Linked DNA regions of Mus musculus. The protein of the gene in region 2 binds, or shares a complex with, the protein of the main gene of each other region. Links are inferred from orthologs where the notes say so. Each region holds a gene or a part of one and is shown on either strand. Other genes may lie near its edges.

Region 1 (3,687 bases), on a different chromosome or scaffold from region 2:
TTTAGGTCTAAGAGCCACTCCTATTAGGAAGGATGGGAGACCCAGGCCAGATCCCCTGGCTTCCCAAGGTCCAACCTGTCCATCTGCCTTCTGAACGTGCAGCGTCAAGCCTCCTGTGAGCCAGTCAGCCAGGTCCCTGTTGGTGGGGTGGGTTAGTAGGTGTCAGTGTCTGACCCAGGGCTACTAACCTTGACCTCCATGTGTCCCAGTGCTCATCTCACTGTCTTCTGGGATGCCCAACCACAGCGCCAGCATCCAGGTGCGTCTGTCTCCGGACCTGTGCTCATCAGCACGAGTGGGGCTCCTCAGCCAGTCTGGAAATGATTGCAGTGGTCACTTCCAAGTTCATTTTTCTTGAACAGCTTGAAGCATGAAGAAAGTCCTCCAGCCTCAGCCCTCCCACAGGCACCTCCTTTCTCCACTGTACTTCTACCTGCCCTGTGGGGACCTAGTCAGCCTGCCTGGGCAGCTGCTGTGGACACTCTGTGCCCCCAGAACTTGCTCCCACATGTCCTCACTGGTGCCTGCCAGTCCACTTAGTCATGCTGAGCAGGGTCCCCAGAGCAAAGGCTGCAGTTACCTGCCCAACCTGTCCCCAGATGCATGCTCTTGGTCAGGGCTGGTGGTGGGCTGCTGGGCATGGTGGTGGGGTGCAGACCAGTGTGGCTTTCCTCCTCTCAGCTATGCGTTCAGAAGTTGAGGATACTGATAGAAGACTCCGACCAGAACTGTAAGTCACTGCTGCCTTCCCTGGCTGTCACACCTGAATGCCATGCCTGGGATTCAGAAATCTCACACTGGGGACCAAATGCTCCTGGGCCCTCAGCCCTCTGCTGTGCTCATGCTGATCCCGCTGGAGGGCTTTGTGGATAGAGTGGTAGCCCTCACCGCAGTCTGGCTAGCCTTGCCCTGAGCCCCAGGGAAGCATGAAGCAACCTACTACTGCCTTCCGTATGTCCCTACACTGCTCTCTGCTTAAACCTGTTCCAGAATGGGGGCTGTGTCAGTGTCATCTGCTGCTTACCAGACCAAGTGGCAGGCTGTTGTCTACAGTAGAGCCAGGCCTGATAGACTTGCTCATAGGGCCCAGGGGTTCTCAGTCCTACTTCACACCACAATCTCTCAGGAAAGCATCTCTGGGCCATCTGTTGATGTGACTACCTCAAAACCTGTCACAAGTGAGGCTTCAGGTGCACAGGTGTCATCTGTGGCTCCTGCTTCAGCCTCTCCATTTTTCATGAGGCCTGCACTGGGCCAGCAGTCACTGTCGTTTGGCTAGCAGTGACCTTTAGAGCTTGTGGGCAGGGTCCTCAGACACAGCATCATTGGAGTGCTTTTCTTTCTTTCTTCTTTTCCTTTTTTGGCTGTCCTAGAACTCAATCTATAGACCAGGCTAGCCTAAACTCACAGAGATCTATCCATCTGCCTCTGCCTCCTGAGTGCTGGGATGAAAGATGTACAACACTATTCCCAGCAGGGTTCTTTTTTTTTTTTTTCCTTTTAATAACATGTGTTTTTTGTTTGTTTGTTTGTTGTTGTTGTTTTAGGTTTTTGTTTGTTTGTTTGTTTTTTCAAGACAGGGTTTCTCTGTGTAGCCCTGGCTGTCCTGGAACTCACTCTGTAGACCAGGCTGGCCTCGAACTCAGAAATCCGCCTGCCTCTGCCTCCCAAGTGCTGGGATTAAAGGTGTGCGCTACCACGCCTGGCGAACAACATGTATTTTTAAGTTATTTGTAAGTTTTTGTCATTCATAATTGTGTGTCCGTGTGTGGGTCTGTGCTTGGGAAGGCCAGTGCCTGTGGAGACCGGAGCTTATAACACTCTGGAGCTGGGTTTACAGTCCTGTTCTTCCAGTCTCCAGAGGGCTGTGCCTGTAGACATGCTGTGAGAGGCTGGGTACAAGCCTCCACCGTGGCTTCCTGGGTGAGGTGGGGCTCACGAAAGTGGCCATCAGCTAAAGGCAGCACCCCTGATATGCCTGTGGGTCATGGTATTTCACTTGCTGTCCCCAAGCTAATGGCTACTTGGTCTTCACAGTAAAGTACCTGGGGCTGCTGGCCATGTCTAAAATCCTGAAGACACACCCCAAGTCTGTGCAGTCCCACAAGGACCTGATCCTGCAGTGCCTGGATGACAAGGACGAGTCCATCCGCCTGCGTGCACTTGACCTGCTCTATGGAATGGTATGTGTCCCTGTGGCCAGGATGGGGGGCCTGTGAAGCTTCAGTACTTGTCATTCCTATCCAGGCTGGGAGAGCAGCCTGAACCTGCTGCGGTCAGCCAATGGCACCTGTCCAGGATATAGGGGATGGAACTGGATACCAAATACGAGAGTCTCTGTCACTCTCCCTTGATCTGATACAGTTTTGCACTCTGGGGAGGAAGCTATCCCTCTTGGGCTCATGAGTTCCATCTTGGTTGTCAGTGTTCATGCCTGGCCACAGCTGCCTGTTCCCCACAGGTGTCCAAGAAGAACCTGATGGAGATTGTGAAGAAGCTCATGACTCACGTGGACAAGGCTGAGGGCACCACCTATCGCGATGAACTGCTCACCAAGATCATTGACATCTGTAGCCAGTCCAACTACCAGCACATCACCAACTTCGAGTGGTACATCAGCATCCTTGTGGAGCTGACAAGGCTGGAGGGCACCCGCCATGGCCACCTCATTGCTGCACAGATGCTGGACGTGGCTATCCGGGTCAAGGCCATTCGCAAATTTGCTGTGTCGCAGATGTCCTCACTGCTTGACAGTGCTCACCTGGTAGCCAGCAGCACCCAACGCAATGGTATCTGTGAGGTGCTCTATGCTGCTGCCTGGATCTGCGGGGAGTTCTCAGAGTGAGTCGGGGCAGCCCTTGGAAGTGGCCTAGTGTGGGGACATGTACGCAGACAGATCCTTTGCCTGACAATGGTCACTTCTGGGCAGCTCTGCCCAAGTGATCTCCTGTCTCCTTCCATGGAGTGGCGTGGACAATTTGGGTCACACTGGCTGTGGAGAGGAGGGTGCCTTGTAGACTGTGAGGCAGCTCACGTCTGCTTCAGGTGACTCAGCATACAGTGCTGATAGTGAGCTCCTCACGCCAGGCTCCCGGGCTGACTAGGTGGTAGGCTGCGGTGGCTACAGCACCTCCATTACACCTTACACCTGCTCAGAGGACACAGGACAGCTGTGACCAAGAGAGGTGTGGATTTGTTTTCAGTCTGTCACAGAACTCTCCTGGGGAGCACATTTCTCTGGAAAAACCACAAAATTTGCCCAGCACTTCCCTTGCCCCAGAGCTCAGCCCACGGAGGCTGTGTATAAGTTGTCCTTTGAGGATCCAGTGGGAGCCGCCTCTTTGAACCCCACAGCACAGCACATGGATGCCAGGAGAAGTTATTGATGAATGTTCAGTTTTTGTGGTGCTAGAAATCAAACCCAGGGTCTTGTTCCTATCAAGCAAATGCTCATTACCAGGAACAAATCAATGGCAACAAGTCAGCCATACAGATAACGTAGGTCCTCTGACCTGTGTCTACTACTAGTGGCAGTCACATCTTTGCTATTGTTTCCTTTTCCTTTTTTTAATTTTACATACTCACCATTGCTCTCTTCAGACACACCAGAAGACGTCAGACTCCATTGCAGATGGTTGTGAGCCACCATGTGGTTGCTGGGAACTGAACTCAGGACCTCTGGGAGCA
Region 2 (3,687 bases):
ATGTGTGAGCTGCTGCTGAGCTGCGTTTCTCAGGTGTCCGGGTACCGGCTGCTTGCCATTCTTTAAACAGGAACCATGGAAGTCTTTACTTAGGGATGAGGCAACACGGACAGCCGTAGTTGGTAACTAGATTCAGGAAAACCTGCAAGCATTTATAATTCCTTCTTAATAAACCCGTGTTAAGGCTTTCAAATACCTTGCTTCCAAAAGAAGCTTCCTTGCTCTCCTGGCCAGCCCTCCGCTGACTGTTGTTTAGGGCCCAACTGTCTGTCCCTGGTCTCTGCCATGATGTTCTAGCGGTGTCTTTGCTTCTCCCTGTTGATTGGTTCTATTGTCATTTGTTTATAATGTGTGTACCATTCTCTAATAGTACCAATCTTTGGTTATTTTCTCCTTATTTTATGACTTCCTTTTAGCTTTAATTTACAATTGTACACATGTAGATTTCTAAATTAAAATTGCCTTTTCATTTAAAAACACTGTAGTTTAAAATACAAACCTATTTTGTTATATTCCAATATTGTTTTAATTACTATTAAAATCATCTCAATATACATTAATGTAGTGCGTTCAGAAGTTGACTTAGCAAGCCTGATTATGGTGTAAAAGCTTACGTAAATAAATAAATGACCAATATTACTAGAGGCTATAAGCGGCATGGTGGAAAAATGGAAGAACTCTTTCATCCTAGTTTTTAGAGGGCATCAGCAGCTTTTATGAAAAAGTAACAGCTAAATGCACTGCAAATAATTTGCAGTGATCCAGTTCAGTGATTCATGTGTCTGCTTTAATGGGTCATAATTCAGGGGAAAGTAACGGAGTGCAGTCAGAGTGCAGACACTGCCTGTGCCAGGGACAGTATCTCTTCATAAAGCACACCTCAGGAGAAGCGGCTTGCCAGCCCCTAATACTCTCTGATGTTTTGATGTCCCGCATATTTTTCCGATTAAGTTTTGAGTGCCATGTTTTTAGTTGTATTTCCACATTCATTATTCTCACGTAGACCCTTCAGCGGGTTTGCCATATATGATTATTTTTTTAATGATGCCTTTCTTTCCACTTCAGCAGTTTAATAATCTAGCACATGGCTGCTTCTCAGAGCTCAGCATTCACCTCCCCAGCACAGAAGAGGACATGTGCATTGGCTACAGAATTCCATTTGCCACGTTAGAAATGCATATTCCCCATGGAACGACATTTGTTTGACATAACCATTCATTTTTATTACATCTTTAAATATGTTTATCCAGAGTTATCAATAATCATAAATAACCGTATTTTCAACTTGTTCTGTTTTTTTTTCGAACAGACAAAATTGCTTACCCAGTACATATTAAATCTCGGCAAGTATGATCAAAACTACGACATCAGAGACCGCACACGATTTATTAGGCAGCTTATTGTTCCGAACGAGAAGAGTGGAGCCTTAAGTAAATATGCCAAAAAAATCTTCCTAGCACCGAAGCCTGCGCCACTGCTCGAGTCTCCCTTTAAAGGTATCACGAGATGCATAGCTTACAGCACGCTGCCTACAGCGTGTCAGTGTGCCCATTCCCATGTGCTTCAGGCTTCCCTCTGAGAAACACGACTTCCGTGTGGGTGTGGGAGAACATTGTGATTGCACTTTTTCATCTCTTCACGGCAAGTTTTATTCTTATGTTTGTTAAGGTTTATTTTCCTGTAGACCTTGTTTTCCTAAATAGATTCAGGTTCTCTGGTTTTTATTCTCATTAGGCAGTTTAACTGAACGGTAGGTAGAATACCTGTTCTGTTCTTATAGCCATGGGCTTTATTTCTGCTTTAAACAAATACTTTTAGTTCCTGATACCTAATAATAGTGAGTTATTCATTAAATACCCATGTACACTAATGCCAGCGTCTCTAGAGATTAGTTCATACAGAATCTTTACATTCAAGTTCATTTTTCAAGGAAGGAGCTGTGTTCTTTTCCCCAGCTTTTTGTAATTAAATATCTTGTCAGCTAACAAGCAGCGAGTATGGTTGGGACCACGTGGCTCTGGAGCTTGGCTTCCACGTGGTTTCTTACTTAAGTGTTGTAAAACAGTAAATGCAGTTCTGTGTGGCACAGAAACCATTGAGATTCCGCGTGTGTTGTGCCGAGGCATGTATATGGATGGTTTAGCTGCGCTGTCATTCCTAATATTCACAGTAAAGTAATTTTTAGAGAAGCTACATTTCAGAGCAACACCTCCAAACACACTGACTGATTAGCTTTTTTATTGACCATTATGGGGGAGATTATTGTAATCTATGGGCTGAAATCAGTTTTCTGACCTATGAAGAGCTTCCTGGTTTATATTTATTCCTTGACATTTGTGGTAATATGCCAATTACCTTGAGCTCTGATATGATTGTCATCTGTTATATACAGCTCATATTGTTTATTTTCTATTTTCCTCCATTTTTAATAGATAGGGATCGCTTCCAGCTTGGCACCTTATCTCATACTCTCAACATTAAAGCGTCCGGGTACCTGGAATTATCTAATTGGCCAGAGGTGGCGCCTGACCCATCGGTTCGCAATGTAGAAGTAATAGAGTCAGTAAGTTGACCTTTCTGAGATTAATTTTGTTCTAACAATGAGAGCTTCTTGGGTAACTACCATTTTATAGAAAACCCTTTGGGCTGAAAACTGAGCGCTGTTCTTGTGTTTCTGAATGCAACGTGTTAGATACACCTTGCCTTAGAGGAACTGAGCACTGTGTTTCCTTGCCGCTGTACCTGCACTGTTCTCTGCTTCAAGGAAACAGAGAATTGAATTCTCTGCATCAGTGCCAGCCACATTTGTGCGATTGCATTTGTAGCTGTGTAGATTCAATTTCTAAGGTATTTAGTTTCAATGGATTGAGCTTTTTCTACTTTGTTGGAGATTCGTAAGCTTCCTGTCAGTGTTTTTATAAATAATTTTTGCTGTTCTTTTCGAGAAAAGAAAAACCTGTACAAAATGTACTGGGTTTTCTGATGAGCTCAGTTTTAGGTGATGCTTACAAATAAGCAGAGAGCGTTGTATACCAAAGATAACCTTGACAAGGTTACAGCTAGAAACGGATAGTACACTTTTTACATTTAAAAAATGCCAATTATGTTTTCTAAATCTTTTCTTAAATACACTGGATGTTAGGCTTGCATAATGGTTACTCTTTACTAGCATTACCTATTTATTGTTTCATAGTAAGTTTGATAATGAAAGATATTTTGCTTGTACCTAGAAATTGTGTGAATATATTCTTTGTTTTTTAATATAAATGGAGCAGGTGAGAATTACATTCTTAATGTCTTCCTCATATAAGTAGTGCAGTGAACTAGAAATTAGATAATCAGAAGCCTTTACCATTAGCTCTGGTCGGAAAGCTAGTTAGCTACCATTAGCTCTGGTCGGAAAGCTAGTTAGCTTCCTTGTTCTCTTCCACATGCAAAGGAAGGAAGTCACTAACTTTAAATATAATCCCGTTAATGAGCATAGCCATGCAATATGATTATGCTGAGAAACAGCTTTCTTTTGAATACAAAACTTACACTGGCTTTGAAGCATGTCTGGCAGCAGATAATTAATGTAGCTTAGTTCAGAGCCCCGTCAGTGACGTGTGGCAGGTACCAGTTTGTTTAAACTTCATAGTGGTACCCATATCCACCCCATTTTCTTTTGTTAGTGTTGTTTTGTTTGTG
Region 3 (3,687 bases), on a different chromosome or scaffold from region 2:
ACGGCTGAAGACCTCACCTTAGAGTCAGACATCCAACCTGCCAGACCATGATTTGGATGTCTACTGTATCTGTTGTTGCCAAGTTGCCCACTGTATGATGTTCTGTTAAGGTAGCACTACGAGACAATTTATAGGGAAACTTTGTCATTCTTTTTCCTATGGGTCAGTAGCCTTGGATAATACCTAGGATTGACAACTCTTTCTGAAGGCACTGTGGCCTTCTATTTGCTTTTCTTATTAAGAGTTAACAATGAGCATTTGACAAAGCAAGCAGTAAATCCATTTGGATGAGAAGTGAAGATCAAAGTGGCCACCAGATGTTGAGACCAGACCTAGGGAAACCTTACTATCCTTCCCAGAAGCTCTTAACATTTGATAGGCCCTGGTACATTGGTACCAACTAAATTGCCTAGCGTTTCTTTTCTTCCAGTGGGCCTTACCTACTAAGTATGCATAGGCCCTTGCAGGGACACAGCTCACATTTGCCTGTCATCCTCTTATAGGAATGTGCTGCCAATGGTTTACTGTTTGAGTCTCTTTCTTCTTGCGACTTGAGATAGAACACTGTCTTAACATCTGTCTCCCATGACCTGGGCAGACAGAAATGCCTGGAGAGATGGCATCACAGTTCTTATGGGCTTGTCTAGTCTCGCTGTCACCAGGGGCTGGTAGAACATTTGGCTTGTAGTGTTGAGCATAGAGTGTGACTATTTCTTTAGTTGAAAATTGTGGATACTTTGACACTTTGAAGTAAGAATAGAGATGTAAGGTGGTTTTTTCTGATTTTGTGAAGAGCTCTGTTAGGTTTTAAGAGGCCCTGTGTCAGCCAGGCAGTGGTGGTGCATGCCTTTAATCCCAGCACTTGGGAGGCAGAGGCAGGTGGATTTCTGAGTTCCAGGACAGCCAGGGCTATACAGAGAAACCCTGTCTTAAAAAACCAAAAACCAAAACAAACCCCAAAAAAGGCCCTTTCTCTCAAAACTCTTTTTAGTGCCAGCTCCCGAGTGTGAGCATACTTGATTGTAGTTAGATGTCCCTTCATTCTGACAAGTGATTAGACTTGGGAGACAAGGGGTTGTTGTGGTATCTGCGTCTTCCTAAACTGATATGTGTGACCTTGGTGAGCGTAGGGAGTCTGGTGGGCAGGGGGCAGGGTTCTTTGCTGCCACCTGGGACCTAGGATTGAATTGTCTCCCATCCTCCCATGAAATTTCAGGAGGGATATGAGGACATGGCTTAGGGCAGGGGACTCCTACATAGGTGTCTCTGACCTGCCACAGGGCCCACACTGGCAGCACATAACAGTACTTGAACCACTTTTCTTTCCCAGGTCTTTGGCCAGTATCGATTCCACCTGTCCACAAACATGGGGAATATCTTTGCAAACCTCTTCAAGGGCCTTTTTGGCAAAAAAGAAATGCGCATTCTCATGGTGGGCCTGGATGCTGCAGGGAAGACAACAATTCTATACAAACTTAAGCTGGGCGAAATTGTGACCACCATTCCCACCATTGGTGAGAAGCTGGGCCCAGGGCCAGGGTGGGGGTTGGGTGTGGGGATCCAAAATACAGAGGCCCTCAGCTGCAGTCCTGCCCCCCAGGTTTCAATGTGGAGACTGTTGAATACAAGAATATCAGCTTCACCGTGTGGGATGTGGGCGGCCAGGACAAGATCCGGCCGCTGTGGCGCCACTACTTCCAGAACACCCAAGGTAAGCAGCCAGTCCTTGTCCTAGATTCCTCATATTTGCCTCAAAGGGATACAGTTGGTTCACTGAGCCTTGTGGTCTTTGCCATTTCAGGGCATGAAGCCACACCAAACATCACGGCCAGTGGAAGGACTGGATCTAGAACCTGTGGGGTCTGGTGGGGAGTGTTCAGTATGTGCACTAATGTGGCCATGTTTCAGGCTTGATCTTCGTAGTGGACAGCAATGACAGAGAGCGTGTGAACGAGGCCCGTGAAGAGCTCATGAGGATGCTAGCTGAAGATGAGCTCCGAGATGCTGTTCTCTTGGTGTTTGCCAACAAGCAGGTAGGCACCAGCAAGGTCCTTCCCTGAAGGAAAACCTGTATCAGGGAAGAAAGAGGAGGGGTGAAAGGCTACCCAGGGTTATTGGCTGTTTGTGGTCCCTGCCACTAATTCTTCCTTTTCCTCAGGACCTCCCCAATGCCATGAATGCGGCCGAAATCACAGACAAGCTGGGGCTGCACTCTCTACGCCACAGGAACTGGTACATTCAGGCCACCTGTGCCACCAGCGGGGACGGGCTCTATGAAGGACTAGATTGGCTGTCTAATCAGCTCCGGAACCAGAAGTGAACCAGACCCCTCCCTCCCCCTCACTTCCTCTTCTCCGCCCTCAGCTTTCCTCTCATGTGGCAAACGTGCGACTCTGTGGTCCTGAGTGCCAGAAGCTGTCTCCATGGGTTGGTCACAGTGTGCATCGCACCGTGCTGTACATGTGCAGACGCAGCCTGCAGCCAGGTTTTTATTTAATGTAAATAGTTTCTGTTTCCACTGAGGCAGTTTCTGGTACTCCTATGCAATATTACTTAGCTTTTTTATTGTAAAAAGAGAATCAACTCAACTGTCAGTACTGAGAAGGGATTTGGGTGTAGGGGCACCTGGCCTCCGGGAGCCATTGGGCTGTAGACTGGTGTCGGTATCCATTTGGTGGTTGGTTTTTAACCCAAACTCAGTGCATTTTTTAAAAATAGTTAAAAATACAGGACAAGAACACTTGAACACACAGAACGGAGACTATGCCTAGTGTAGGTTTTGCAGTTAATGGCCTGAATGCTAGATATCAGATCACCTGTTTCGCTGTGGGAACAGGAGAGAAGGTGATGAACAAACCACCATCCGCTGCATGGTCACAGTAGAGCCCCCGTGACTCGCCTGTCTTTGGGTCACCTGCATTCCATAGCATTGTGCTTGTACTTGTGCTCACACGGTTACCTAGGGTAGGCTGGGAGCCATTGTGGGGTGCAGGGCCTGGCTTGTACTTGGTGTGTGCAAGGCCCAATGGCAGCCTGCATACCCAGCCTACTCTTGGGCCCACTTGGACGCGCTGGCAGGAGGCCTGGGTCTCACCAGCAGGAGTGCGTGCAAGGTGGGAGGGTCGGTCCATTACAGACCCACATCCTGGAGCACCCCCATCTCCATGTGTGAAGTAGCTTCCTCCCTCAGCCTGCAAGGGTCCGATTTGCCATCGAAAGACGACCTCTACTTTTTTCTTTTGTATTTTGATAAACACTGAAGAAGCTGGAGCTGTTAAATTTATCTTGGGGAAATCTCAGAACTGGTTTATTTGGTGTCGTGGAACCTCTTACCGCTTTCAATACACAATTAGTAATCAACTGTTTTGTATACTTGTTTTCAGTTTTCATTTCGACAAGCACTGTAATTATAGCTGTTAGAATAAAGTCTCTTAACTATTTGATGGGCTTGTGTGTCAGTGCCACCACTGCCAGGCTTCTTCCTGAGATTGAGAGCCCTTTTCATGCTATAGGAAACAGGGAAACAGGTGCCCTTTAAGCCCTAGTGTAATCTGGTAAGATCTGGATGTCTTGACGTGCTTCTTTCCTTTCCTTTCTGTGACAGACTGGGGCAGCTGGCCTTGGAGTGCTTATCTCTGGGTAGGTGTGACCACTAGAAGATCCAAAGTTTATCATCCTTCCGAATAG
Region 4 (3,687 bases), on a different chromosome or scaffold from region 2:
ACAAGGATTTCCAAGTGAAAGATGCAGAATGGCCTGAGTCACAGACTGGCTTTTCAGGAGTAAAGACCAATTAGTATAAATGGTTACTGAGGACTCTGTCCTTCCGTGAATGGTTCTTCCACGTACGCAGTACGGCAAAGACACTTAAGTGCTTCACTCGAATTTGATAGGAGTTTGGAGAAGGTGTCATCACAATGGCCTGGAGATATATGTAGTATGGAAAGGCGCTCCCCCAAATGAAGGGCACACAAGCAAATTCAACTATTTAAACACACAAAGATTGAAAAGAGCAACATAGTGAAACTCATGATTTCCTTCTTTAGCTAAACTAGGGTTTCAAGCTAATTAGGTTAGTGGCATTAAATAAAGCTTTAATAAAACATGAGAATGGCAAAGGTTTTGCTTGATTTTCTCTTTTACTACTTTAATTTGTTTAAAAGCACAAACAGCTGTGCCTGCAGTAACTCGCTAACAACAGAAGTAGTGTTCCCTTTCGTTGTCTTAATAAAGTATTTGCCCTTTTGATGCAAATGATTTGACTGTGCTATCTTAACAGCTGAACTAGTGGCACAAGATTGATGGAATATTTACTGCAGCAAGGTCCTTGTAAATCAAAATCTGAGCTTTACATAAAAATCTTATTTATAAAAAATATAATACCAAGTACAGTGAGAATGGAGCACGGAGCTGTAGTGCTCCCTGCCAGGGCCATGTGGAAGTGGCTTTTGCTACAGTGCTTGCTTAATGGCACAAGTGAAAAGCTGAGTAAGGCAAACACTTGAAGAGGCAGTTTTCTGTAAACTTCTTGGGGTGGGGCAATCTCCTCTCTTGGGACAGACACTGAGATGGCTAAGATCAGAAGGTGTGACACTTGGCTGCACCTGACACATCACAGACTGAGACAGTTCCTGCTGGTAGATGAGACCAGTTGGCTTGCTTTAGGAGAGAGGATATCACTGTAGCCTTCTGCTTTGACTGTTAGAATGTGCAGCATTCAGCTGGTAGCCCCCATGGAAGAAATCATCTAAACCTTTTCCTAAGTGAAAAGATACAAAATAAGCTAAGTCTTTAGAAAACTTTCCTTAGCTTAAAGCTCCGTAAGAACCCTACATCAATTACTAAGCAACTTTGTTAGCAGGGTAGCTTGACACAAATGCTGTATATTATTCCCACCCACTTGGTACCTAATAGTAATAAATTGCAATGACACTTGAAAAAACAAACTGATCTTGAGCAAGTTTGGCCTCTTCTCATGTCCTCACTTGGAACTTCCCAGCCTTTGTGACATATTTGACTCCTTTAAATGGCTTATACTTCTCACCATACATGTCCAAGCGGTTCACTTTTAAGCCTGTGTCAAAAAGAATGAAACGAATCATTACTACCAGAGTAATAATGCAGTACTTGTGTAACAATGAACACTGTGCCTTAGATGTGACACTGCACAGTGCTCCATTCATCATGTGGAAACAACATCCCTTTTCTATCCCCCACATGCTGTACTCTAAGGAGCATGGCCTTGGTTAAGATGCCTCTGCTCACAAAACTAGCTAGTTCCACTTTCTTTGAACACAAATGAGGGCTTCTCTGGCTCTTAAATGAAGGTGAGGTGAGGTATGTGTGACAGAAGAGCATGAGGTTAAGTTGTGTTCTCAAATGGCTGCTGTCTGGAGCTGCTGTTCCTTCTAGGGTAGAGCTGTTAGTACTCTTCCAGACTCCTAGCCCCAATCTCCCCTCAATGCCCAGCAAACACGTGTTACCTGAAATAGCAAGCTGCTGGATCTTGAACTGTATGTTGAGGTTTGGGTTCTCTTCTGGCTTGGGTGCTCCTGACTGTAAATTTACTAGTCCTTTAAGACTTGGGAGCTTTTGTGGAGTAATTTTGCCCACATCCCATGCTAGTACCTTAAAAACACAAGAGAAAATACCTGAGCTGTGTTAAAGACATGCTCAGAGGTCAACAGATGCTATACACTACACAAAATGAAGCAGTGTCTTAGAAAACAGAAGCCAGGACTACACAACTGGCTTATGTTCTAATCACTAAATGTTCAGTTACAGAATCCACAGCAGAATCATGTGTGTGGGGCTGAGTAACAGACAGACAGAAGGATGACTCCAGCTCAGCTGGAAGGTGAGGATGTGGACTCGCCTGCTCACACCTCACACTTAAAGGGTCCCAGAAAGGCTTTTTTTTTGTTTGTTTTTTTGTTTTTGTTTTTTCGTTTAAGACAGGGTTTCTCTGTGTAGCCCTGGCTGTCCTGGAACTCACTCTGTAGACCAGGGTGGCCTCGAACTCAGAAATCCACCTGCCTCTGCCTCCCAAGTGCTGGGATTAAAGGCGTGCGCCACCACGCCCGGCTCCTCCATTTCAAACACAATCCAAACCAAACCAAAACACCTTCTCATTTATCAAGTACTCTATTCTGCTGAAAACTTACATTTCCTACATAAGGAAGCAAGGGAGCGAAGAGAAAATCATCTTTTCTAGGACTCTGAAAACCCTTGGCTAGAGTCTTGTTTAAGCAAGGCAAGGACCCTGCTTCCTAAGTACTGTGACCTCCACCCACAACCACAAAATAGATTGCAGAACACTTGCTCATTCTTGTTTCGAAGTGCCTGTACCTTGGTCACGGGATCAAATGTATAGCTGCCTTGCGTTGGTGTCAGGTTCATATTCAGCACAACTTTGGGCATGTGAACAGTCACTGTGATTCCTTCAATTGTTTTTCCCATATTCTGTTTCGGTCCAATTGTTATATCAAACCGGCCACAAGAGCTGTTTTCCTTAAAGCTGATACTGTGTTTCACATACACTGGTATTGCCACTAGACTAAAAAAAAGACACAAAAAGGTACAAAAGTACATTATGAAAGGTATGGGACAACTCCAGATGTAGTGTATGTCCTACGAGGTCTGTAACTGTGCCACAGGACCATATGCCCTAGCAGATTAGGCCTATGCACTAGGGTTGAGGACAGCAATGTTCTGGTACCAATGTGCTAGAAATGTATGGGTTAGTAACAAATACATAAGCCCAAACAGAAATCTCCTCCAAATATCACATAAACAACTCGGATAAAGGGATACAGCTAAAAAAAAAAAAAAAAAAAAAAAGGAAGAAAGAAAGAAAGAAAGAGAAGAGCCCATTAAAAGAATTTAAAGCACTAAGAAATATTTTCTCAGAAAAATGTTTCAGTTTTGTCTAATCACCCAAATGCTTTCTGGAATTTTAAGGGACACGTCAGCCCCAGCTGACAACAGTAAACTGTTTAAAGCTCAATGCAAGATGAATATGGTGGCACATATCAATGATCCTAGCACCCAGAAAGCTGAGGCAGGAGGATCCACAGTTTGAGGTAACAAATAAGACACTGTTTTAAAAACAAGAACCACTTCAACCTCCCAAACTCAATGTAGAGAACAGTGACTTGAAGCAGGTAGTTTAGGGGATGTTTTAGGGTATCCTGTCTTGTTTGTTTACAGACATAGCAGACTAAGGCACTGAGTTCATGGTTTGCCCAGGTCACGCACAGTCCAAAGGCTTGGTCTTAATCATAGATTTTTAACTTACTCTCTCTTACTACTTCTCTACACTTCCATGTTCAGAAACACTAATTGTTTTGGGTACAAAATTCTCATTAGGTCTCCAGGTGAGCCACAGCTAAAGGAAACATTGGTAAACTC

What was found.
Region 1: the proteins of Ap3b1 (region 2) and Ap3d1 are in contact, whole or in part, in a cryo-EM structure (PDB 9C5C), measured with the Homo sapiens proteins. The link is inferred for Mus musculus from reciprocal best matches to the Homo sapiens genes AP3B1 and AP3D1. Residues at the interface, in NP_003655.3 of Homo sapiens: Asn75, Lys466, Lys467, Gln470, Val494, Ala497, Ser498, Trp501, Leu531, Leu534, Gln535, Asn538, Lys542, Asn567, Tyr568, Asp569, Asp572, Arg573, Arg575, Phe576, Ile577, Gln579, Leu580, Lys586, Gly588, Ala589, Leu590, Ser591, Tyr593, Lys596; in NP_003929.4 of Homo sapiens: Lys352, Leu442, Ile446, Ser471, Tyr483, Trp487, Glu491, His517, Ala520, Val521, Gln524, Asn525, Lys528, Val561, Gln562, Ser563, Ala564, Leu566, Glu567, Gln569, Glu570, Arg571, Ser573, Cys574, Gln577, Leu578, His581, Ile582, Leu585, Lys588.
Region 3: the proteins of Ap3b1 (region 2) and Arf1 are in contact, whole or in part, in a cryo-EM structure (PDB 9C5B), measured with the Homo sapiens proteins. The link is inferred for Mus musculus from reciprocal best matches to the Homo sapiens genes AP3B1 and ARF1. Residues at the interface, in NP_003655.3 of Homo sapiens: Glu52, Asn54, Pro81, Val84, Lys85, Val87, Ala88, Asp111, Leu112, Leu114, Leu115, Ile117, Ser118, Thr119, Gln121, Arg122; in NP_001019397.1 of Homo sapiens: Glu17, Arg19, Tyr35, Ile46, Pro47, Thr48, Ile49, Gly50, Phe51, Asn52, Val53, Glu54, Lys73, Ile74, Leu77, His80, Tyr81, Asn84.
Region 4: the proteins of Ap3b1 (region 2) and Ap3m1 are in contact, whole or in part, in a cryo-EM structure (PDB 9C5A), measured with the Homo sapiens proteins. The link is inferred for Mus musculus from reciprocal best matches to the Homo sapiens genes AP3B1 and AP3M1. Residues at the interface, in NP_003655.3 of Homo sapiens: Leu60, Lys64, Val67, Gly68, Ile70, Ala71, Lys72, Gly73, Ile92, Glu93, Lys96, Leu97, Val100, Arg104, Glu107, Asn128, Gln129, Leu130, Arg137, Arg143, Ser163, Pro164, Tyr165, Lys168, Asn169, His172, Gln175, Lys176, Leu202, Ser206; in NP_001307192.1 of Homo sapiens: Met1, Phe15, Leu16, Glu17, Trp20, Lys21, Ser22, Val23, Gln26, Val42, Glu43, Asn44, Val45, Pro46, Pro47, Val48, Ser50, Tyr55, Ser58, Ile59, Tyr60, Gln71, Thr72, Glu73, Val74, Pro75, Pro76, Leu77, Phe78, Ile80.

The regions. Positions count from the first base shown.
Region 1 is NC_000076.6:80,718,163-80,721,849, reverse strand, and holds part of Ap3d1 (AP-3 complex subunit delta-1), read left to right. Parts: intron 1-209; coding exon 210-259; intron 260-681; coding exon 682-730; intron 731-2,037; coding exon 2,038-2,183; intron 2,184-2,461; coding exon 2,462-2,841; intron 2,842-3,687. UniProt on the Homo sapiens protein: Part of the AP-3 complex, an adaptor-related complex which is not clathrin-associated. The complex is associated with the Golgi region as well as more peripheral structures.
Region 2 is NC_000079.6:94,470,367-94,474,053, forward strand, and holds part of Ap3b1 (AP-3 complex subunit beta-1), read left to right. Parts: intron 1-1,309; coding exon 1,310-1,496; intron 1,497-2,432; coding exon 2,433-2,563; intron 2,564-3,687. UniProt on the Homo sapiens protein: Subunit of non-clathrin- and clathrin-associated adaptor protein complex 3 (AP-3) that plays a role in protein sorting in the late-Golgi/trans-Golgi network (TGN) and/or endosomes.
Region 3 is NC_000077.6:59,211,167-59,214,853, reverse strand, and holds the end of Arf1 (ADP-ribosylation factor 1), read left to right. Parts: intron 1-1,330; 5' UTR 1,331-1,366; coding exon 1,367-1,514; intron 1,515-1,600; coding exon 1,601-1,711; intron 1,712-1,908; coding exon 1,909-2,033; intron 2,034-2,158; coding exon 2,159-2,320; 3' UTR 2,321-3,442; downstream 3,443-3,687. UniProt on the Homo sapiens protein: Small GTPase involved in protein trafficking between different compartments. Modulates vesicle budding and uncoating within the Golgi complex. In its GTP-bound form, triggers the recruitment of coatomer proteins to the Golgi membrane.
Region 4 is NC_000080.6:21,035,353-21,039,039, forward strand, and holds part of Ap3m1 (AP-3 complex subunit mu-1), read right to left. Parts: exon of another isoform or gene 3,575-3,687; intron 2,834-3,574; coding exon 2,626-2,833; intron 1,906-2,625; coding exon 1,761-1,905; intron 1,352-1,760; coding exon 1,251-1,351; 3' UTR 1-1,250. UniProt on the Homo sapiens protein: Part of the AP-3 complex, an adaptor-related complex which is not clathrin-associated. The complex is associated with the Golgi region as well as more peripheral structures.